Linked DNA regions of Oryctolagus cuniculus. The protein of the gene in region 2 purifies or fractionates together with the protein of the main gene of each other region. This does not show direct contact. Links are inferred from orthologs where the notes say so. Each region holds a gene or a part of one and is shown on either strand. Other genes may lie near its edges. The genes, in order: ATF1 and ATF2.

Region 1 (12,259 bases), on a different chromosome or scaffold from region 2:
AGTGACTGTCCCCTGAAGATTCCTGCCAAACTCTCCCTACAACAGGCTTCTGAATTCTACAACCTTGATGTAAATGTTATCTCAGAGTTTTTTAAAAAGACTTTATTTACTTGAGAGAGTTAGACAGTGAGAGGGAGAGACAGAGAGAGGTCTTCAATCCGGTGGTTCATTCCCCAAATGGCCAGAGATGGGCCAATCCGAAGCCAGGAGCCAGGAGTTTCTTCTGGGTCTCCCACGCAGGTACAGGGGCCCAAGAACTTGGGCCATCTGCTGCTTTCCCAGGCCATAGCAGAGAGCTGGATCGGAAGTGGAGCAGCTGGCGCCCATATGGGATGCTGGCACTGCGGGCGGAGAATAAGGGCTTGATAGTGAACTTAAAGGGCCAGTCACAGGTATAATCAAATATACAGTGTCATCGTGTTTAGTAGTTGAAATGTCAGCATCTCAGTCCCGAGTGCCCGAGTTCAAGACCACTCCAGGCGCCACAGCGCTGGCCCTGTTTCACTGTTTTATAGTAAAAGTTTATATATATATATATATATATATATGAGCAAATGATGTTATATGATTATCACAGTTATATTTTGATAGATCTTATAAAGCTATGGCTTTCTGTTCCTTCAGAGGCAGACAGAGCTCCCATCCACTGGTTCACTCCCCAAATGCCCATGATGACGGGCTGGGCTGGGGCTGGAGCCAGGAGGCGAGTACAAGGGCAGCAGGGATCCAATTACTTGAGCTAACATTGCTGCCACCCCAGTCTCAGCGAGCAGGAGACCGTAGTTTTTTGTTTTGTTTTGTTTTTTTTAGATTTATCTTACTTGAAAGTCACCATTACACAGAGGACAGGTCGGGGGGGGAGGGTCTCTCCCCAGATGGCTGCAACGGCTGGAGCTGTGCTGATCCAAAGCGAGGAGCCAGGAGCTTCTTCCCGGTCTCCCATGTGGGCGCAGGTGCCCAAGGCCTTGGGCCATCTTCCACTGCTTTCCCAGGCCACAGCAGAGAGCTGGATCAGAAGTGGAGCAGCCAGGACTTGAACCAGCACTCATATGGGATGCCGGCACTGCAGGCGGTGGCTTTACCCACTAAGCCACAGCACTGACCCTGGAGTGGTCTTGAACTCGGGCACTCGGGACTGAGATGCTGACATTAACTACTGAACACGATGACACTGTATATTTGATTATACCTGTGACTGTCCCTTTAAGTTCACTATCAAGCCCTTAAACTTCACACACATTGTATCAATTTCTAGCATCTTTCTGGGTCTCTGAACTGCCATTATGACAACTGATTGCATGATTCCGAGCCATACTATGTACCTTGTGCCCCTACAAAGTCTACATATTTAACAGGAAAAAATACAGATTTAACCTGGTCTAATTGGTGTAATAATTGGTATAAGAATAAATACAAGATTTCCAAAGCTCTAATCAATGACCATGCTCAATAAAATTAAAGAGACATCTTATTATATGCCCTTGATGTGTCTGTGGGCCATAATCTATTTCCATCAACACAATACATGAATTTTAAAAAATATATTTATTTGAAGGTATTACAGAAAGACAGGGAGAGGGGCCAGCACTGTGGCATAGTGGGTAAAGCTGCTGCCTTGCATCCCATATGGGTGCCAGTTCGAGTCCTGGCTGCTCCACTTCTGATCCAGCTCTCTGCTGAGGCCTGGGAAAGTAGAAGATGGCCCAAGTCCTTGTGTCCCTGCACCCCCATGGGAGACCTGGAAGAAGCTCCTGGCTCCTGGCTTCGGATCAGCGCAGCTCCGGCCGTCGTGGCCAATCGTGGAGCAGCCAGGACTCACACTGGAACTCCGATAGGGAATGCTGGCATCACAGGTGGCGGCTTAACCCACTGTGCCACAATAGCAGCCCTGCAATACGTAAACTTATAAACTCATGATTTACTAAGTAAAATACTAAGCTAAGGAAATAATTCCATTAGTCTTGCATTTTGGAAGTCCGAATTCATGTCTGTACTCTTATCATTTGAAAAAGTTATAAAGTCCCACACTGGATTCCAATTAGAAAAACATCCAGGAAAGCAATTCGGTGTGCATTTAAGGAAGCCTCAGCGGCTTGCCCAGGCCTGTTGTACACATCCAGAGGCACTAATTGGGTCTGGTGAGCAAGACTTTACACCAGAAGTCTGGGGCAGCAGAGTTTACAAATACCTGACAACATGCAACTACTACAGCACAAAGAGCTGGATCATCTTTTTTTTTTTTTTTTTTTTTGAAGATTTATTGATTGATTTGAAAGGCAGAATTACAGAGAGGTTCACTCCCCAACTGGCCGCATGGCCGGAGCTGTGCCGATCCGAAGCCAGGAGCCAGGAGCTTCTTCCAGGTCTCCCAAGCGGGTGCAGGGGCGCCATTTTCTACTGCTTTCCCAGGCCGTAGCAGAGGGCTGGAGCAGCCAGGACTCGAACCAGCGCCTATATGGGATGCCGGCACTGCAGGCGCTGGCCCCGTGGCTCACCCTTGACACGATGAAAACTGCTGGGGACAAGCTTTGTGGCGCAGCACTGTCGGCTGCTGCCTATGCGGGCCGGCTCGCGGCGCAGTTGCTTCACTTTCAGGTTAGCTCTCTGCTAATGCGGCTGCAGACCCTGATGGCGTGCCAGGCTCCGGGCCCCCGCGGCCGTCTGGAGAGTAAACTCTTCCTCTCCCTCTCTAACTCTGCCTTTCACATCAGTAAATAAATCTTTATTAAGAAGACACTCTTCTGACACAACCCAGTGAGCATATACCTCCCTCTGCTCCTGAGGCCTCAGGGACACTGGCTGAGTTTACGGCTTTACACGCGGTATTAAGTGACGTTAGCGTTCTGGTGATCACACTTCAACAGCGGCAGCCAAGTCAACGTTGTCCTATTTTAAATGCCTTTTGAGTAACAGGATTCTACAGGGGGATCCATCATAAATGTATGAGTTAAAGACTGCCTATGTAACAGTCTCCTTTAACCATGAGTTAGCTGAGTTTACTCCAACTGGTCTGATGGAAACAAAAAATACAACCATAATCCTCCAGAACTAACTGCAAACGTACCTCATTAAAAAACTAGAACCGCCGTCATTAGTATCTTTAACACAGGCTATCAGTAAGCCTTCACCCACACATAAAGCATCAGCTTACGTCCAGCAAACTTAATTTTATCAAATTCTTTTTAATTTCATGGACAATATGATACATATTGTATAGAAGCACACAATAGTTTCGCGGTACAATTTCAAAGTGTATACAAATTGGAATACAGAGAGGTTAAACACAGGTGTATGTACTGACAGCATTTCTCTTTAGATAAACTGCATATAAAACTTACAATGCAAATATTAGCCAATCTGAAAACTTTACTCTCATAATATAAAAATGATACTTTGAGATGCAAATGTTTTTTACTAAACAAACTATATAAACATTTAAAATAATCATTAAAAACTCAATATTAGAATTTATAAAGATCAGCTATAAAAATATATTGGCAGTCACTTTTCTTATAAAGGTACCATTCACTACATTACAAAATAGTCTCTAACATAAAATTACCTTAATAATCGTACTATTTTAAGATCTGATAAACCTTACATTGACTATAAAATCCTCTTGGAAAAACTTTGGTATGCATCTTCAGGTTTTTTTAAAAATAATATATTTTAAGGGCCTGTAAACATTCCATTCTATTAAAGCACACAGAATAAGTAATGGATATTCAACTGCATACAGAATACAGAATCAAAAAAAATTTATTACATATTTGTAGAAAATCACCATTACCAGAGTAAGCAAGGACCAATTTAAAAACATTAAACTATTAAACAGTTTTCTTTCCATTCTGATAAAAAAAAAAGTTATAAAATCACCACACTCCATTCATGTACCTTAGATAGCTTTAGGACAAGACCTCAAAATGGTTAACCCAGTTTCAAAAACCCTCTCAAGTCCAACAAATAAACTTTAAAAAAAAAAAAAAAAACTCACTTAAAAGACCTGACAATGGAACAAGCATATATAATCATAAAACATAATTTATCTTTTAGTAATGTACTAAGGTTTTCTTTTACAATTGTAATTTAGAATTTATTGGCAAAAATCACACACACACACACACACAACTGAAAAAAAGGTAAATTTCAGGAAACAATAAGAAATGCAAACCTATAGGGTAAATTGATTTATTTTTAAAAATTCAATTTACCATATTTCATCTTTTTTGTATTTCTGGGTTGACACCATTGTTATTTAGAAAATGCCTGCTTCTTGGTTCTTGAGTTTAATTTTTACACAGCTTCCAGTTGTGCCCAGAGCTTCCTTGAGGTTGTTTTCCACTTAATCCTGTCGACACATCTCTTGCATAAGATATCTTTGTTGCAAAAACCTAAATAAAAAGCTTCACTTTTGACCTTTTAATTTATAAAACTCTGCTAAAAAGAAATCCATCTAATTTTTAGGCAAGTCCACAAAAATATTTTCTTTCTTTCTTAAGAATCAAACACTTTTATGGGAATAAAGATCTTTTAAAGTCTTTAACTCTTCTATCAGAGTTTTATTTTGATTCTCCAGAACTGCAACTCGATTCTCCAGGCATTTCACATACTCTTTCTTCTTTCTGCGACATTCTCGAGCAGCTTCTCTAAATATAAACATTTGTTTTGAATGTTAGAAAACAACTTTACATTCTTTAAATAGTAAATTTTCTTCTGTAATTTTACCTGGTCCCCTTTTCCCCCTCATTTGAAAACTTAAGGTATTACCTACATACAGCAAAGTAAACAGATCTTAAGAGTAGAATTCAACCAGTTCTGGCAAACGCCCATGCCTGCATCACCTGTACCCCTGGAGAGACAGCACATGTCCAATGCCGCAGGAGGTTCAGTCAGTGCTTTCCCAAGCAACCACTAGTCTGATTTTGTCACCGCAGCTCAGTTCTTCCTATTCTAGAACCTCAGGCAACAGTGTCAGTAGGTTCTCTTGTGTCTGGGTTGCCTTCCATTCAACATAGTTTTGAGGTTCACCCATGTTGTTGCATGCTGGTTTGTCCTTTATATTGTTGAATGCATTCCACTGTGTAAATATAAATTATTTATGTATTCTCTTGGGCTATTTCTAGCGTTAGCTGCCATGCATGTTGTGTGCCAATCTTTTTGTAGATTTAGGTTTCATTTCTCTTGAATAAATACCAGAGAGTAAAATTTAAGGGTCTTCTGGTTAATTGTTCACATAACTTCTTCAATTTCTGGTTATTAAGTCTGAATTATAAACAATGCTTGAGGGGCCAGTGCTGTGGCATAGTGGGCTAAGCCTCCACCAGCAGCATTCCACTTCCGATCTATCTCTCTGCTGTGGCCTGGGGAAGCAGTGGAAGATGGCCAAGTCCTTGGGCCCCTGCACCTGCATGGGAGACCTGGAAGAAGCTCCTGGCTCCTGGCTTCGGATCGGCTCAGCTCCAGGCGTGTGGCCATTTGGAGAGTGAACCAGTGGATGGATGGAAGACATCTTTCTCTGTCTCTCCATCTCACTGTCAGTAACTCTACCTTTCAAATAAATAAAATCTTCTAAAAAATTTTTAAAAAGAAAGAAAACCCATGTGTTTAAAAAAATAAAAATAAAAACAGTGCTTGAGCCAACACTCAGTTCTGTGAGATCCTCTTAGAACACTTCTGGGAAGGCACATCAAGTTACCCAGTATCTATAAAGAGGTGGATGCTACCTTTGGCTTTTTATACCATATATGTAAATCTGAATTGCAACACGTTCTACACATGCTGTTTTAACGATCTTTCTGTTAGTACACAGATCTCTATTTTTCAAGGCAGTGCGTAGGACCTGTAATTATTAACCAACACCTCCCAGAAAGACTTCCAAGAGGCCTCCAGTGAATATCCTATACATGTCCCCTGTCATATATAATGTGGGGTCTCAAACTATATGCATTTAAATCAAGAGATGCTGCCAAATTTCCTTCCAGGGCATCTACCAATGTATATCCTTCTCAGCACTACACTCGGAATATCTGCTTCTCTTCACTTTCTCTAATTTCTGATGTTATAAAAATTACAAAATTTTTGTCTAATGGCTACAAACTTGTATCTTCTTGCTTTAATTCCCATTTCTTGATTATGCAAAAAGTCTGATGTGATTTCATGTTTGTAGGCTATGTATTTTTTTCTTTTCTTAGATCTCACATTTATTTACAGAAATAAATCTATTTATATACCTATTACATTTGGCTGTACAGATACAGGTAGGACTGTATAAGCTATAATTCTTTCTCTATATATAGATCTCTATCTATAGATCTATATATCTATAGATCTCTATCTATATCGATATCTATATATATATCTATAGATCTATCTATAGATCTATATTGATACAGATATATACATCTATATATATATATCTATATCGATATAGATATATAGACACCTATATATAGTTGTATATATAGATCTATGGATCTATAGATCTAGATATATATAGAGAGAGATAGATGCAAATATTTTTCACAGGTAAAAGACATAGTTTTAAGCTTGTTATGGTATCTTGTCACACAGAAGCAGACCTGCTGAGTCAAAGACTATGTATTATAAAACTTCAATTTTGGGGCTGGTGCTGTGACATAGTGGGTAAAGCCACCATCTACAGTGCCAACATCCCACATGGGTGCTGATTTGAGACCTGGCTGCTCCACTTCTGATCCAGCTCTCTGCTATGGCCTGGGAAAGCAGTGGAAGATGGCCCAAGTCCTTGGGCCCCTGCACCTATGTGGGAGACCCGAAAGAAGTTCTTGGCTCCTGGCTTCGGATCAGCGCAGCTTCAGCCATTGCAGTCAATTAGGGAGTGAACCAGTGGATGGAAGATCTCTCTCTCTCTCTCTCTCTCTTTCTGCCTCTCCTTCTCTGTTTAACTCTTTCAAGTAAAAGAAATAAATCTTAAAAACAAAAAAAAAAAAACAAAAAAAAAACCACAATTTCCCTCACTAATGTACGTGAAATACCTTTTCTCTATGTACTCAATGGCAGTCACTTTTGAGTTTCTGCCGTGTGACATCTTGTTAATTATTTCACTACTTATGAGGACGAGCATATTTTTCAAGAGTGTATTGGTCTGGTTTTTTGTAAATGTGCAATTCACTTACACTTGCTCATTTATCTATCAACTAGGTTGTCTTTCTAGTGGTTTCCTTTTTTTTTAAGATTTACTTTTATTTATTTGAAAGAGTTAGAGAGAGAGGTAGAGACAGAGAGAGAGGTCTTCCATCTGCTGGTTCACTCCCCAATTGGCCACAATGGCCACAGCTGTGCCGATCCAAAGCCAGGAGCTTCTTCCAGGTCTCCCATGTGGGTACAGGGGCCCAAGGACTTGGGTCATCTTTTACTGCTTTCCCAGGCCACAGCAGAGAGCTGGATTGGAAGAAGAGCAGCCAGAGGCCGGCGCCGCGGCTCACTAGGCTAATCCTCCGCCTTGCGGCGCCGGCACACCGGGTTCTAGTCCCGGTCAGGGCGCCGCATTCTGTCCCGGTTGCTCCTCTTCCAGGCCAGCTCTCTGCTGTGGCCAGGGAGTGCAGTGGAGGATGGCCCAAGTGCTTGGGCCCTGCACCCCATGGGAGACCAGGAGAAGCACCTGGCTCCTGCCATCGGATCAGCGCGGTGCGCCGGCCCTGGCGGCCATTGGAGGGTGAACCAATGGCAAAGGAAGACCTTTCTCTCTGTCTCTCTCACTGTCCACTCTACCTGTCAAAAAAAAAAAAAAAAAGAGCAGCCAGGACTAGAAGCGGTGCCCATATGGGATGCCAGCGCTTCAGGCCAGGGCGTTAACCTGCTGTACCACAGAGCCGGCCCCCACCCCCCATTTTTTTAAATAAAGATTTATTTGTTTATTTGAAAGGCAGAGTTACAGACAGGCAGAGAGCGAGTGAGAGAGAGAAGCCTTCCATCCGCTAGTCCACCCCCAAGACGGCCGCAATGCTGGAGCTGCGCTGATCCGAAGACTGGCATGGCAGCTAGGCTGTCACTTGGGATGCCTATGTCCCATAACGAGTGCCCGGTTTGCATCCTGGCTGATGTTTCCAGTCCAGCTTCCTGCTAACACACTATCTAGGAGGCCTCAGGTATTGGCTAAAGTACTTGGGTCCCTGCCAATTTTATGGAAGATCTGGATTGAGTTCTGGGCTCTGACTTAAGTCTAGCTTAGCCCTGGCTGTTACAGGCACTTGGAGTGTGAACCAGTGGATACAGATCTCTGCCTGTCTCTCTGCCTAAGAAACAAAACAGGGGTCCAACTTAATTTCATTCAAGTGTGGGGCTAGTTGTATCAACATCGTTAGTCAAAACTAAAGTAACCTTGCAAATGTACTTAATAGCAAAGAAGGTACTTCTGAGCTGCGCCATATTTAATAACATTACTCTCTGTTCTTGTGCAGATACCAAGATACCCACGGCTGATTTTGATGTTACTGGATTATTTCAGTGCCTAATAAAACAATGGGGCCGGCGCTGTGCTGTACAGGGTTAGGCCACCACCTGCAGTGCCAGCATCTCACATGAGTGCCAGCTGGAATCCTGGCTGCTCCTCTTCTGATTCAGCTCCTTGCTAACGGCATAGGAGAGCAGCAGGGGATGGCCCACATCCTTGGACCCTTAAATCCATGTGGGAAACTTAGAAGAAGCTACCAGCTCTTGGCTTCAGATCGGCCCAGCACTGGCCATTGTGGCCATTTGGGGAGTGAACCAGCGGATAGAAGACCTCTCTCTCTCTCTCTAATTCTGCCTTTCAAATAATAAATAAATAAATTTTAAAAATAAAACAAGTAACCTCTTTCTCTTCTTGAATACTTATTTCTTCCATGTAGACTCTCAGCTTATTTTGTCTACTTCCTTAACAATGTATAGATTCTAGTTTGAACTACACTGAATTTACATGCAAAATCTGAAAGAACTGATACTCAATATTAACTGTCTCTCTCTTAAACAATATATTTCAGTATATTTCCTAATTGTTCAGATACAGTTTTAGTTACAAGATTTTTTAAATGGATTTTATACCTTTCCTATTAAATTCTTCCTAGGTATTTCACGTTTTGTCATTAATATGGATGCAGCATTATTTCCCACTGTTATTTTCAAGATGGTTACAAACAGCAGCAGAACACCTGTGATGGCTGACTTTGTGGGTTAACTTGACAGGGCCAAGGGATGCCCAGGAGAGCCGGTAAAGCATTACTTCTGGGCATATCTGCGGGGGAGCTTCCAGAAGGGATTAGTATTTGAATGTGTAAGTAAAGAAGATCCACCCTCACCATTGTGGGTGGCCATCATCCAATCCGCTGAGGGCCTGAATAGAACAAAAAAGCAGAGGCAAGGTGAATTCTCAAGACCTGAGCTGGACACTCCTGGTTTCCTGGTGTTGGCCATCAGCAGCACTCGTGTTTCCTTGACCTTTAGATTCTGGGACTTACACCTGTGCCCCTGTCCCCACCCCTGATCAGCCTTGGGCTGAGCTACAAAACTGGCTATCCATATTATTATGGAAAGGGATATTATGGGGTTTCTCAGTATATAATCTGGTGAGCCATCTGTTTCTCTGGAAAATCCTAACGTCTTACTAAATTTACTTAAAAATCACTGTGGATTCTAAACATTTGTTTCTTATGAAGCAGTATACACATAAAAAAGCCCATGTGGTACGGATATATGTTAGGAAGCACAGCAAATAAAATGAGGGTGAATACGTGCAATACTCAAGAGGACACATCACATGTACGGGGAGGCAGCCCTCGGTACTCTGGTCTCCGGCTCATCAGCAATCACTAGTTTCAACTCTCTGCTCACGGTCACAGCTCTAGTACGTACGTCTGACTCCACACAGTAAATCATCTTTGGTTTCCTAATTTTCCAAGATCATAAAATATTACACTTTATATATTGTTGCAAGTTCTTTCTTTCACTTAACTTTCATTTTTCTAAGCTTTATTCATGTTGAAATGACCACTCAATCCTTACAAATGGAAAGTACTGCATAGTATAAAATCAGTCCCAACTTCTGCATCCATTCTTTTATCAACGGATATTTGGGTTGTTCCCTGATTTTTGCTATAAACATCTTATGCATACTTCTGCAAGTCTCTCAGTCACATACAAAGCAGTCAAGTCATAAGATATCCAGGTCACCTGCACAAGGTAAGGCCTAATTCATTTCCAAAGTGGTTGTGTCAGGCCCATAGCAGTATCTAAGTTCTGTGGTTCTAAATCCTGACAACTCCTCTTTACACTTTAAAATGCTTGCCAGCTGGGTTGGTATAAGTAGTATCTAAGTGTGTGGTATTTATTTGCATTTCTTTGATTGCTCTTTTGTATGGTTATTAACCATTCATATATTTTGCTATGCCTTTTTTTTTCCCCTTATTGATTCACAAGGTCTTTGTATTGTTTTCAAAAAAAATCTTTTGCTGGTTAGGTAAGTTACAAGTATCTTCCATAGACCTACAGTTTGTATTTTCATTCCCCTTATGTTATCTTTTTATGAACAGAAGTTATTCATTTCAGTGCAACAAAATTAATTCATGTTTCTTTTAATTTTTATGTATGTATTTGTCCTCCTTAAGAAATCAAATATAGGATGATATACTTTCACTTAAAAGGTTTTTTGTCTTTTTTTTTTTTTTGACAGGCAGAATTAGATAGTGAGACAGAGAGAGACAGAGAGAAAGGTCTTCCTTCTGTTGGTTCACCCCCAAAATGGCCGCTACAGCCAGCACACCGTGCCGATCTGAAGCCAGGAGCCAGGTGCTTCCTCCTGGTCTCCCATGCGGGTGCAGAGCCCAAGTCTTGGGCCATCCTCCACTGCCTTCCCGGGCCACAGCAGAGAGCTGGCCTGGAAGAGGAACAACCGGGGCAGAACCGGCAACCCAACAGGGACTAGAACCCTGGGTGCCGGCACCACAGGCGGAGGATTAGCCTAGTGAGCTGAGGCGCCAGCATCACTTAAAGGTTTTAAAATTTCATCTTGTAGGCCGGCGCCACGGCTCAACAAGCTAATCCTCCGCCTAGCAGCGCCGGCACACCGGGTTCTAGTCCCGGTCAGGGCACCGGATTCTGTCCTGGTTGCCCCTCTTCCAGGCCAGCTCTCTGCTATGGTCTGGGAGTGCAGTGGAGGATGGCCCGGGTGCTTGGGCCCTGCACCCCATGGGAGACCAGGAGAAGCACCTGGCTCCTGCCTTCGGATCAGCGTGGTGCGTCGGCCACAGCGCGCTGGCCGTGGCGGCCATTGGAGGGTGAACCAACGGCAAAAGGAAGACCTTTCTCTCTGTCTCTCTCTCTCACTGTCCACTCTGCCTGTCAAAAAAAAAAAAAAAGAAAAAATTCATCTTGTATATTTAAGTTTATAATCCATCTGGAATGATTCCTGTATAAAGTGTGAGGAAGAAGTCCAGTATGTGTTCATGTGTGAGTTACCAATCGCCTAGCATCATTTGCTGAGTCCAACTACCTGCCCTGTCGTATCAGTGCCTCCTGTGTTCACAGATCTACTTCTGGGTTCTCTATTCTATTTCATTACTCATTTTGTTTATTTCTCTTTTAAACTGTTTATTTTCACTTTATTTTAAAGGCAGAAAGAGAGTTCTTACATCCATGGGTTCAGTCCCCAAATACCTGCAGTAACCAGGCCTAAAGCCAGGGCTGCATGGGTTCAGACACCACTTGGGACACCCAAGCCTATACTGCAGTGCCTGGTGCTGGTCCTGGCTCCCTGGCTTCCTGATGGCTCAAGTACTTGAGATCCTGCCACCCACACTCAGCTCCCGGCTCCAGGCTTCAGCCTGGCCCAGCAGTAGCTCTTGTAGGGTTGTGAGCATTTGAGGAGGGAACCAAAAGATGCAAAATCTCCCTCTCGGTCTCTCTTTCAAAATGGACTGAAAATATAAAAATATGTATTTTTAAAGCCAGGAGCCAAGAACTCAATCTGGGTCTCCCACATGGGTGGCTGGGACCCAAGTACTTGAGTTGTCACCCACTGCCTCCCAGGGTGCACACTAACAGGACACTGGACGGGAAGCAGAGGTGGGACAGAACCCAGGCACTCTGATTTAGAATGTGGGTGTCCCAGGGTGTCTCTGCTGCATGAATTCAAATAATGTTTACTTTTTTTTTCTGTTTTAGTAAACTGGAAAAAGATTCCTGGACAATGATATAGAAAATAACTATAATTTATAGTTATTCTTGTGGCCATTTTAGGCAGAGGAAC
Region 2 (11,995 bases):
AAGATCAGTTGTAGATAACTAACTTCAGAATGATATAGTTAACTAAATAATTTAAAAATTGCTAAATGGGGGTCAACATTGTGGCACAGCAGGTTAAGCCACTGCCTACATCAGCATCACAAATCAGGCAACAATTAGTGTCCTGGCTGCTCTGCTTCCTATTTACTTCCCTGTAAATGTGCATGGGAAAACAGTGGAAGATGGCTCAAGTACTTGGACCCTGCCACCCACATGGGACCTGGACAGAGTTCCAAGCTTCTGGCTTAGGCCTTGGCCATTATAGCCATTTGGGGAATAAACCAGTAGGTCAAAGAACTCTCTCTGCCTCTCCCTGTCATTCTGCCTTTCAAATAAATAAAAAGTTTTAAAAAATAAAATTGCTAAATAATACAACTTAATAATTCCCAGTTAAGAAATCACATCTTACTAATAACTGCCAACTCTAAAGTTGGCAAAATTATAACAAAGCTAGTGCATTAATAACCTGTCAACAGTGTAAATTTCATCAACTCTGAAGAGTTGGCAATTTGGCAACTGGAGAAACAGTTTTAAATCCTTGGCCAGTAATCCCACTTGAGATTAGTATTCTATGGAAACAAGAAAGAAAAAGACACATGCACAGAAACATCCAAATCAATATTCAAGTAGTCAAAAACCTCAAAATTATGTCCCTGTTGGGCATGTAAAACTGAGCGCACTTTGATAGTGATTTTGTTAACTATCATATAACTATCAAGTATAGTTTAATATATATCTATCAATTATAAAGCTTAGAGAACATGGGAAAATACAATGTTACAAAAGTAAAAACTTTTCTATGATATATTCGGTAACAACTACAGTACATGTACAACAGAAGGATGCAAAAATAGTCATTTATTAGTATGGCAAAATGAGTTTCCAATAACGCTGTTCTAAAAAGTATTCAACCAATACAAGAAAACATGTTAGCTCAAACTATAATTAAGAAAAGCAAAGCTTTAAAATTTGAAGACCAAGGCCAGCACTGTGGCTCAGCAGGTAAAGCTGCTGTTGAGATCTGCTGCACCAGCATCCCATACGGGTATAGGTTCGAGTTACAGCTGCACTGGTTCCAATCCAGTTCCCTGCTAATGTGCTGGGAAAGCAGTAGAAGATGGCCCAAGTGCTTGTGAGAGACCCAGAAGCTACTGGCTCCTTGCTTTAGATCAACCCTGCCTAGGCCATTGCAGCCATTTGGGGAGTGAACCAGTAAAGATCTCTTTGTCTTTTCCTCTTTCAAATAAATAAATCTTAAAAAAATAAAAATAAAAAAAATGGGGGGCCGGTGCTGTGGCATAGCGGGTTAAAGCCCCAGCCTACAGAGCTGGCATCCCATATAGGCACCGGTTCGAATCCCAGCTGTTCCTCTTTAGATCCAGCTCTCTGCTATGGCCTGGGAAAGCAGCAGAAGATGGCCCAAGTCCTTGGGCCCCTGCACCCACATGGGAGACCTGGAAGAAGCTCCTGGCTCCTGGCTTTGGATTGGCCCATCCCAGGTTGTTGTAGCCATTTGGGGAGTGAACCAGCAGATGGAAGATATTTCTCTCTGTTTCTCTGTCTCTCCCTCCCTGTAGCTCTGTCTTTTAAAACAACACAATATTCTTTAAAAAAAATTTAGGGAACATATTTATAAATTTAAAGGGGCCTGCATTGTGGCATGGTTGGTGAAGCTGCTGCCTGCATTGCCAGCAACCCATATGAGTGCCAGTTTGAGCCTCTGCTAATGGTTTGGGAAAGCAACAAAGGATGGCCCAAGTCCTTGGGTCTCTGCACCTAGGTGGGAGACCCAGATGAGGCTCCTGGTTCCTGACTCTGACCTGGCCCAGCCTCAGCTGTTGTGGCCATTTGGGAAGTGGACCAGAGGACAGAAGATCTATCTCTATGTAAACTGACCTTTCAAATAAAAAAAAAATTTTAAGGTTAAGATTATAGATGAAAGTGGTCACATACTACCAAAATAACAAAAGTCCATTTGGTCTTTTGCCAATTATACAATTATTCCCACCCTATCTTTCACTGCCAATCTTGTTCAGAATCTCTGTGATAATAAGCCACCACTACTATTGATAGTATATCCTATTCCTTGGTTGTTAAGGCAAAAAAAAAAAAAAAAAAAAAAAAAAAAAGTTTGAGGCCCACTATCTGACTTAAGGTATGTTAACACAGACATGGGTGAATAGGCCAAGATCTCACAGCATTTTATTTGCATTCCCTCTTACTGTAAAAATGTTTAAATCAATATACTACCATGGCCAAAATGCTAAGACGAAAAAAATTATCACTAAGATTTTTAAAAAATGAATACACTAGTTTCAAGGTGGTCAACAAAAATGAAGAGATCTAAAATAAATATACAGATTTATAATTATATTTTATATTTAATATGAAAAATACTCATAATTATTGATGACTTTAACAATTCTGGATATTCTATGAAATGATACTAATTTTGGCCGGCGCCGCAGCTCACTAGGCTAATCCTCCACCTTGTGGCGCTGGCGCACCAAATTCTAGTCCTGGTTGGGACGCCGGATTCTGTCCCGGTTGCCCCTCTTCCAGGCCAGCTCTCTGCTGTGGCCAGGGAGTGCAGTGGAGGATGACCCAAGTCCTTGGGCCCTGCACCCCATGGGAGACCAGGAGAAGTACCTGGCTCCTGCCATTGGATCAGCGCAGTGCGCCGGCCGCGGCGGCCATTGGAGGGTGAACCAACGGCAAAAAGAAGACCTTTCTCTCTGTCTCTCTCTCTCACTATCCACTCTGCCTGTCAAAAAAAAAAAAAAAAAAAAAAGAAGAAAAAAGAAAAAATGAGTGGAATACTTTAGCAAGTATGGTGGAATTGTTTGATATCACAACTTATCAGCAGAGAATAAATAATTAGAAATGAAGTTTTTCAGGGCCGGCGCTGTGGCGCAGCAGGTTAACGCCCTGACCTGAAGCACCAGCATCCCATATGGGTGCTGGTTTGAGTCCCAGCTGCTCCACTTCTGTTCCAGCTCTCTGCTACAGCTTGGGAAAGCAGTAGGGGATGGCCCTAGTCCTTGGACCCCTGCACCAACATGGGAGACCTGGAAGAAGCTCCTGGCTCCTGGCTCTAGATCAGTGCAGCCAGCCGTTGCAGCCAATTGGGGAGTAAACCAGCGGATGGAAGACCTCCCTCTCTGCCTCTCCTCTCCTTGTGTAACTCTGACTTTCAAATAAATAAATATACCTTTAAAAAAAAATCAAGTTTTCCAAAATGCAAAAATTTAGAGAGGCAGAGACATAAAGAGAGCTCTCATCTTCTGGTTCACTCTCTGAATGCCTGCAATAGCCGGGACTTGGCCATACTGAAAGTTGGGAGCTAGAAACTCAATCTGAATCTTGTCTTCCCTCATGGGTGGCAGAATTCAACTATTTGTAATAATCCATTGTTATCCTAGGTGTTCATTAGCAGAAAGCTGGAGTTGGGAGTGGAGTGGGACTTGAACTTAGGCAGTCTGATATGTGATATGGGTGTCCTAAGCAGTGTCTTAACACTAGGCTAAATGCCCATCTCCAAAATAAAAAATTTAAGTAGAAGCGTAGATGACTTCTTCTAGTTAATGCTAATTAAAGATAGTAGATGTTTGATGGACAACACATCTCTTCAATTTTTTACTTATTTGACAGTCAAAGAGACAGAAAACACTCCCATCCACTGGTTCACTCTCCAAATGCCCACAGTGGCCAGTGGTAGGGAGGGTCAGGAAGGAATAACACCAGGATCCAGGAACTCAATACAGGTCTCCCATTTGGGTGACAGGACCCAACAACTTCATCCTTCACTGCTGTCTCCTAAGGTCCACATCTGCACAAAGCTATAACATGGAGCTGGAGCTGGAGCAGGCAATGGAACCCAAGTAGTGTGATGTGAGATATGGACATCCTAACCGGTATCTTAACTGCCAGGCCAAATGCCCAATCTAGCATATCATTTTAAAAAAATACTCATTTAACTTCCAAATCCTGAATACCAATGAAAAGTACTCCCTCAATTTTTTGTGAAGGAGTTGCAGTAATAACTATTTCTACAGTTTAGTTAAAAAATAAAGATGGGGGCCAGCGCAGCAGTATAATGGGTCAAGCTGCCGCCTGCAATGCTGACATCCCACGTGGGTGCTGGTTCAAGAGCTGGCTGCTTAATTTCAATCCAGCTCCCTGCTAACATGCCTGGGAAAGTATGCAATAATGGCTCAAGTGCTTGGGCCCTTGCACCCACATGGGTGACTTGGAAGAAGCTCCTGAATCCTGGTTTCAGCCTTGCCCAGCACTGAGCTGTTATGGCCATTTGGGGAGTGAACCAGTGGATAGAAGATCTCTCTCCCTCTCTGTCTCTTCCTTTCTCTGAGTAACTCTGTCAAATAAATAAATAGATATTTTTAAAACATTAATAAAAAATAAAGATCTAACCTACTGGTTAAGATGCCATTGTCCCATATACAGGGGTTCCCAGTACCCAGGTTTGATAACTGGCTCCAGCTTCTGTTTCCAATTGATGTAAACCCCAGAAATCAGAAGTGATGGCTCAAGTAGTTGGGTCCCTGCTACCCACATGGAATACTTGGACTGAGTTCCTGTCTCTTGGCTTCTGCCTGGCCCAGTCCCAGAGGTTGTAGGCATTTGAGGAGACAACAAGCAGGTGGGAGTTCTGTCTCTCTAACAAACTTCAAAACAAATTTAATGAAAGAAACCAAAATCCCACATAAAAAAGTTAATGAAGGAATTTCTGCAATGTTTTTGATAGTACAGTGCCCCAAATACAAAACCAACATTCTAATAAGGTATTTGAAAAAGAGTTTACATGAAATTCTACCAGATCTACATAGGCATTACGTACCTTAAACACACAGAAAAAAAAAAGTCCCTGAAAACTCCAGACAATTAAAATTTTAAAAACTTAAGTTCTAAACTACACATATACATTTCAATTTAAAAAAAAAAAACAGCAGCAACATCCTCTCAAGTCAAGATTAAACATGTCTTAGGAAGGCAGCATAAATATCACTGTAGATGTGGAAGATTCTTGCAAATTATTTTACAAAGACCAGCATTCTCAACTATTGACCTTAAAGATCCATGAGCTTTGTTAAGTCTTTTTGACTTGCAGAAGGGTGTAGTGTATTTTTTTTAACATACTTTACAGAAAGTTCCCATCATTTTGATAAAAGTGTTTACAGTCGATTCTTTAAACCAATGAAACAAACTGTGTTTCTAGTTCAGAGTTCTTTTGACAAGGCTTTATAAACAAAGTCTTACCTTCATAATTTCGGTACAACAGATCTGGGCTACTTGGCTATTGAACATTATGCCTAATATGGTTATTACTGACACTGGCAATGCCAGTGGTTACGAATTTCTTCAAGTAAGAAGTGTGCTCAGAGAAGCAGTTTTTGTTCTGATTTCAAATATATGCATTAAGTATATACATGGTGACTGCCTCCATAATTCATAACTTTCACATTATAATTTAGGATTAGTCAATAGCCCTGAGGTCCATCAGGGGTAATTTATTTTGCTCCACCGTATTCGAGGTAATTTTATACTACCTGGGAGTACAAGTCGTCCCCTGCCCCTCCTCCTCAGTCCTCCTCCTAGCTTCTGATCTAGGAACCAGCATACAACACACACACATACACACACACACACACACATATACACCTCGTCCTCTCTCAGTCCTAGACCCTAGGGTACCGATTTAAAAAAAAAAAAAAATCCCCATAGAAGATCTGTAGTCCACCCAGGGAAGCAAACGAAGAGGGAAAATACCAGAATCAGTCTGCACCCACACCTTGGCCCCGCCCCACCTGGAAAAACTGGGGGGTGGCGGGAATGTGAGGGTGGCAGAAAGGACAGAAAGGGCCGCGACTCCAGGCTCCCAGGCTCTCGCCACCATTCATTTCGTCAGGTTCCGCCGAAGGCAGGGACCCTGACCCTATTTTCAGCCTCGCCTCGCGATCCTCCTCCCCGCCACCATCACAAACCCACGGTCCTCAACCGCAAGAGTCCTGCGTGGAGAGAGACCATAGTGGGCCCTGCTCCTGCCCAATCCAAGGGCTGAGACGGGGGTGTCTCCCCCCGCCCCGCGCACTCGGCGGGCCCGACGCCCCGGGGGCCCCGGAACCGACCAGGGAAAGGGAGGCAAGATCGGAGGGAGGGGTCTAAGGGGAGCCGTTATCCCTTTTTCCTCTTCGTTAGGAAAGCGCGCGAGAGGGAGGGGCCGGAACAACGAACGCCAGTTACCTAACGGTCCGGCCCGGCCGGTCAGGCTCCCGACGCGGAAGCCGCGCGCGCCGCTGAGATGGCAGCACAGCCTCGCTCGCCCCCAGGGCTAGGGACCACGGCAGGAGCGCCAGGGGTGATGAGGCGGGGGATGGGGACTATGGTGAGCGACGTCGCCATGTTAGCGCCTTCTTTCTCTTTCCCTACGGTCGCCAGCCCTGCGGCCCTCTCCCCATCACTACTCACCTTTGCAGGTCACTGGCTCATGATCCTTTCGGTCGCCCAGGAGCCCGAGGACAGCCGTGTTTACAAACTACCCCGGAGGAAAGGGCTGAACCGCACTTTAAAGGCCACGGGCTCCCACAGGCTTCCGTCCTCTCTCGCGAGATCAGACTGACAACCCTTCTCTCCGCCCCACTCCCAGCATCCCCCCTTTCTTCTCGCGTCCCGGCCCGCCACGCACACGCCCCTTCTTGCCTTCCTTCTGAGGGAGCGCCTCCGGGTCAGGTGATTCCGTCAAGCTTAAGGAAATGGGCGGGCCCTCAGGAGGGCGGGGACGGAGGGGGCGGGAACAAAAGAACACCCGGGCGCAGATGATTGGAGAAGGAGCCTGAAGGGCGGGAAGCAGTTCTGGAAGGGGCGGGATCAGAGAACCCAAGGAGCGTCGTCTCGGTAACCCTGGAGCTGCGGAAGGCTGTGATTGGCAGCCAGCTGGAGGCGGGCGCGGGTGCTGGGGCGCCGGAGCAGGTGGCTGTGTAGGGCGCGGGAGGGTGTCGGGCTTGGCTTGTGAGACACGGCGAGTGGCTGGAAAGAAAGCAGGACGCGTTCTCCGAGCCCAGCTCTGAGATCTCACCCTATTTCCGTTGCTGTCACTTCCTGGCCCCGGTAGGGAGGTGGGAAAATCGAGGGGAGGGGAGCCTCTAGCCCACCTCCCAGCTACCCGGAAGACTGGGAGGGGGAGCTTCGGTTCGGCTGAGATTTGGGAGAGGCGGAGTTTGCCGATAATCAAGCAAGAGAAGTGGGTTCTGAAACGAAAAGAAAAAGCCTTTACCTTGGATGAGTTTTCTTTGAATTTACTAAGCTATAACTGGAACTGGGTTTTCGGAGTTCTTTTTCCCAGCACCTAGTACAGTGTAGGATATTAGCATGTAATTTTGTTTGAAGTAATTTACCAAAATACACTGTATTTCCAGTATATCACCATCATTTAAAAACTAAGCAACGACTTGTTTCTAAGAGCAAAGCCTCCATATTAAGTGTATTCTATTTTATTATTTTTCCTTTTACAGATAAAAATATATCAATTTTAATAGAGCTGACTTTAGCCCTTTAAAACTGCAACAACCCCCTATTAACGTTTCCTAGAGGACCAAAAAACACCAAATTAGAGTATGACATGGAAATAGCACCCTTCTTTGTTTCTCTGCCTCTTACATAAGTAATAAGACAACTACATACCACATTGGAGTACGTGGTTTGCTTCCTGCTAATGGACCCTTAGTGACAACAGTGATGGCTTAAAATCAGGTTCCTGAGCGCACATGGGAGACCTGGATTGGGTTCCCAGCTCTTCCTGTGGTCCTGGCCCAGCCCCAGGCATTGCAGGCATCTGAGCAGTGAACCAGTCTATCAAATAAATAATGAAAAATTTAAAAAGCAAGCAGTTCCTGCTTGTCTGTAGCTAAATATAACCCAGAATACTATACACTAGGGTATCTCCTATGTCTGCATAACTCCTATGTCTTGCCTAACTAATCTGTGGCTGAGGGAGAGAACCTCTGGATTTTCATGGTATCCTGAAGATGTAGCCTAATACAAGGGATTAATTGGGATTTTACTAGTGGGATCAAGAGGTAGGGAGTTAGAGGTGTGTGTGTGTGTGTGTGTGTGTGTGTGTGTAGTGAAATAGCAGGGGGAAGCAAGGCATAAATAACCCCCTGAATCTGAGATGAGATGAGGCAGCATGGACCTAGACAGTTTAGTTGATTTGTTTCGTAGCTTTCATCTCATGGCAGATCTTTCTTGACCCACTCTTGACAGCCCAGGGTTTTCCTGAACATTCCTGACATGGCCCATGTTAAAGTTACCTCCTCAGCACATGTCCACTTAGAAATTTCTACTTAGGACATTTCAAGTGCAGAGATGTCCAATCCAAATCCTTGGGTTATCAGAAAAATGTATAGTCAATTGTGTCACTGTGGGAAAAAAATTAGAGAGCTGTACTCACCTTCAAATCATACCCATGAGCTATGCCAGCTTCAGTGCAACCAGCCCAGAGAGGGAGAACAGAATTTAAGATGGCTTTTTCTTTAGCTCTCATCTGACTCTATAGAAAGAGGGATCACCTTCATTATATTCTGCTCTCCCCACACTTCCAAGGTATCAGTAAAAGTGGGTGAAACCCTCCCTAGTGTAGAGTTGTGTAGCATCCGAGTATCTACCCTTTGTGGCTCCCAGTAACCAGTCTATTTGTCAAGTTGAGGCCTACATAATGACAAAGCCATGGATTCCTTATGCCAGAAACCAAGACAGGTCTGTCTGGTCCTGTGGTTCCTCCTGGGTCCTTGGAACTAACACCCTGTTCTTTCCAATTACCTTCTTCCCTTGCATACAGCCTCTTAGGTCAACTGTCAACTGACTTCTCAGTGTCTGTGCTCATAAAGCATCTGTATATATTGGCATGAACATGCCATGCACTGTTCCTGGCTGTGAGGCTGCCACTATAAATAAGATGAAGTCCCTTAAGGAGACTTTGTGGCGTGAGGAGGGATGAGGAGGCACATGACATACATCAACAAAAAGATAATTTAATAGTGGTTAAGTACCACGGAGAAAATAGGGTATGATAACAGGGAGTACTGAAAGCTATGTTGTTTGACAAAAAGAGAACTTGAGAGTAACAGATACTGTAGAGAGGTCTAGTGAGGGGGGCAGTTCTGTGAGCTGTTCCCAGAAAATACTGCTGTTTCCAGCATCTGAGACTCGGTCAACCTATGTAGCTATTTGAGGAGGCAAACCCTGGGACTCAACTATAACAGGAGATCCTGGAATCCCCGTGGCTGGGAAGTGCTGACTAAAAGCTATTGTAGAAAAGCAGCCACTGCCAACAACCATTGATCCTCAGTCCCTATGAAGATCAGCTGTGGGATGCTGGCTCTTGCTAATAGGAGGGACAACCAAAGCCCTAGGATTTATGAGTCTCTGCTGGGACTTAGGCCAATTATGAGTCCCTCTTAGGCCAAGTCCTTTCTTCAATATTTGAGCTCCCTTGAGAAAGAAGACCTAAGTTACTAAACATTCCAGAGATACATTACTTACGTCATTCAGGAGAAAGTACAAATTCTTGCTGGGAACCAGGACCAGTTTTTAGAGATTATAAACAGATTGATGGCTGAAAGTATGTGACCTAGAGTGATAAGGGTGGGAGGGACATGGATATGGGTAGGGGGAAGAGGAGTATAAATAAATTCATGCCATCTGCTTTTTAAGTAATCTATAAAAACAAAGGTATTTAAAAAAATAAATTCTGTACCCATGATAAGTTTTTGCCTCTGTAAACTATCAAAGCAAGTCAAGGTATCATGTTGCTGTTGGCAGAGACAGAATGCAACTATCATATGTGCTGAGGCAGAGGATGGTATTAAATGCGCCCCCCCTCAAAAAAAAAGTTGTCCTTAATGGTGGACCATGTGTTTGAGTCCTAAGTACATCATAAGATCAGTAGACTAATACCATGAAAGCTAAACTTAGCTTCTCTCCAAGATTTTGAACTCTGAAATTCTTTAAATTTCTTGTCTCTTGGCTCTTACAAAAATGGGTGTTCAACCTGATTGAGAACCCTGGGCCCTCGAGTCTTCTCTTTTATTCCAATTTCTTACCCCTATTACCTTCACCTGTTCCTTATCCTGTTTGGAGTTCATAGGTCAGTCTGTTGAACACGGTGCCTGTATGCCGCTTCGGCCTTCCTCCATTTCTTCTGGCCAATTCCCAGCCCGAATAATTTCTATCACTGTGCACCTCAGTTCACATTAACAAGCTTCCCAACACTGCTGGAGAGTCACAAAGTAGGTCAATGAGTTTCACTACAAATTCACATTATCTACCTGGAGTTGGGTCCTTACTGGTCCTCTGCAGTGCATTTATTCACATCTCCATACCACACACCATACCTTTCCTCTTCCCAAGCCCAGAATCCATATGTAAAATTATACCTCCTCTATTTTTTTAAAAATTCACCATTTCACCCAACTAGCCTTTTCCTTGTCATCCCTACAACAGTCACATAAAAAAACCAAAGCAAAGGTTTTAGAATAAAAGAAGGTCTGGCTTTGAATCATGACTTGGCCACTTAGTATCCATGTGACTCTGGGAGTTAACTCTTCTCGAGCCTATTTTTCTTTGCATATTGAAAATGAAAAAAAAATCCCAATTTTGCAGGATCATGATAAGGGTTAAATGGCTGTATATGAAGGGTCTTCACAAAGTCTATGGAAAATATGACTTATGAAAAAAAACTATGCATGGGTTTCAGAATTTTATACCTAAAATTATTCAATTCCATTTTCCTAGGAATTTTAAACTGTAGACCAAACAGGATAAGGAACAGGTGAAGGTAATAGGGGCAAGAAACTGGAATAAAAGAGAAGACTCAAGGGCCCAGGGTTCTCAATCAGATTGAACATAGATTTTTGTAAGAGCCAAGAGACAAGAAATTTAAAGAATTTCAGAGTTCAAAATCTTGGAGAAAAGCTAAGTTTGGCTTTCATGGGATTAGTCTACTGATCCTATGAGAGGCAGAGAGGGGAGACAGATGCTCCCATCTGCTGGTTCTCTTCCCGGATGTCCACAATGGCCTGTGCCTGGCCTGAACCAGGAGCTGGGAATGCAATCCAGGTTTCCCACATGGGTGGGTGCAACCTAGTTACCTGAGTCATTATTGCTGCTACTCACCGGCAGGAAGCTGCAGTCTGGAATTGAACCCAGGTGCGAATCTTGACCCCAAGGTAAATGTATGCTCTTTCCACTTTTTTTTAAACTTATTTATTTGAAAGATTTAGAGATCTTCCATCCACTGGTTCACTCCCTAGATGATCTCAAAGGCCAGTGCTGGGCCAAGCCAAAACCAGGAACCAGGAACTGCTTTCGTCTCCCATGTAGGTAACAGGGGCCGATGAACTTGGGCCATCTTCTACTGTTTTTCCTGACCATTAGCAGAAAGCTGGATCAGAAGTAGAGTAGCAGGGACACGAACCAGAGCCCATAGGGGATGCTGGCCTTGCAGGTGGCAGCTTTACCAGCTACACCACAATGCCAACCCCACCACAAACTTTTTAAAAGTACTCTTGTTTATAAAACAGGGAGCACAGAGAAAAGCTATTGCACCATCTCTCTTCTAACTGGTTCCCAAGATCTAGGAATCACGTTCTACTGCTGTAAGTTTTGCAGGCTCTTCTTAAAATACTCATTGCCAGGGAGCAGGTATTTAGCTTTACAGTAGGGAAGTGCCTGGGTTTGATTTCTGGCTCCAATTCCTGGCTTTAGCTTCCTGCTAATGCAGACCCTAGAAGACAGTAGTGACGGTCAAGTATTTGGGCACTGCCCATGTGATGCCATTTCTGGCTCTCAGCTTCTGCCCCATCCATTGTAGATATTTGTGAATGAACTGACAGATGGGAGCTCTCTGTTGGTCTGTTTCTGTTTGTCTTTCTGCCTCCCAAATATTTAAAAAAATAAATAT

Evidence for each region.
Region 1: the proteins of ATF2 (region 2) and ATF1 purify together in Homo sapiens (affinity purification with mass spectrometry; 3 studies listed by BioGRID and IntAct, with this or other methods). This does not show direct contact. The link is inferred for Oryctolagus cuniculus from reciprocal best matches to the Homo sapiens genes ATF2 and ATF1.

The regions. Positions count from the first base shown.
Region 1 is NC_091442.1:53,795,325-53,807,583, forward strand, and holds the end of ATF1 (cyclic AMP-dependent transcription factor ATF-1), read right to left. Parts: intron 9,350-12,259; coding exon of another isoform or gene 9,315-9,349; intron 4,647-9,314; coding exon 4,502-4,646; 3' UTR 3,163-4,501; downstream 1-3,162.
Region 2 is NC_091434.1:65,969,398-65,981,392, reverse strand, and holds the start of ATF2 (cyclic AMP-dependent transcription factor ATF-2), read right to left. Parts: upstream 6,787-11,995; 5' UTR 6,736-6,786; exon of another isoform or gene 6,505-6,735; intron 6,366-6,504; exon of another isoform or gene 6,280-6,365; intron 1-6,279. UniProt on the Homo sapiens protein: Transcriptional activator which regulates the transcription of various genes, including those involved in anti-apoptosis, cell growth, and DNA damage response.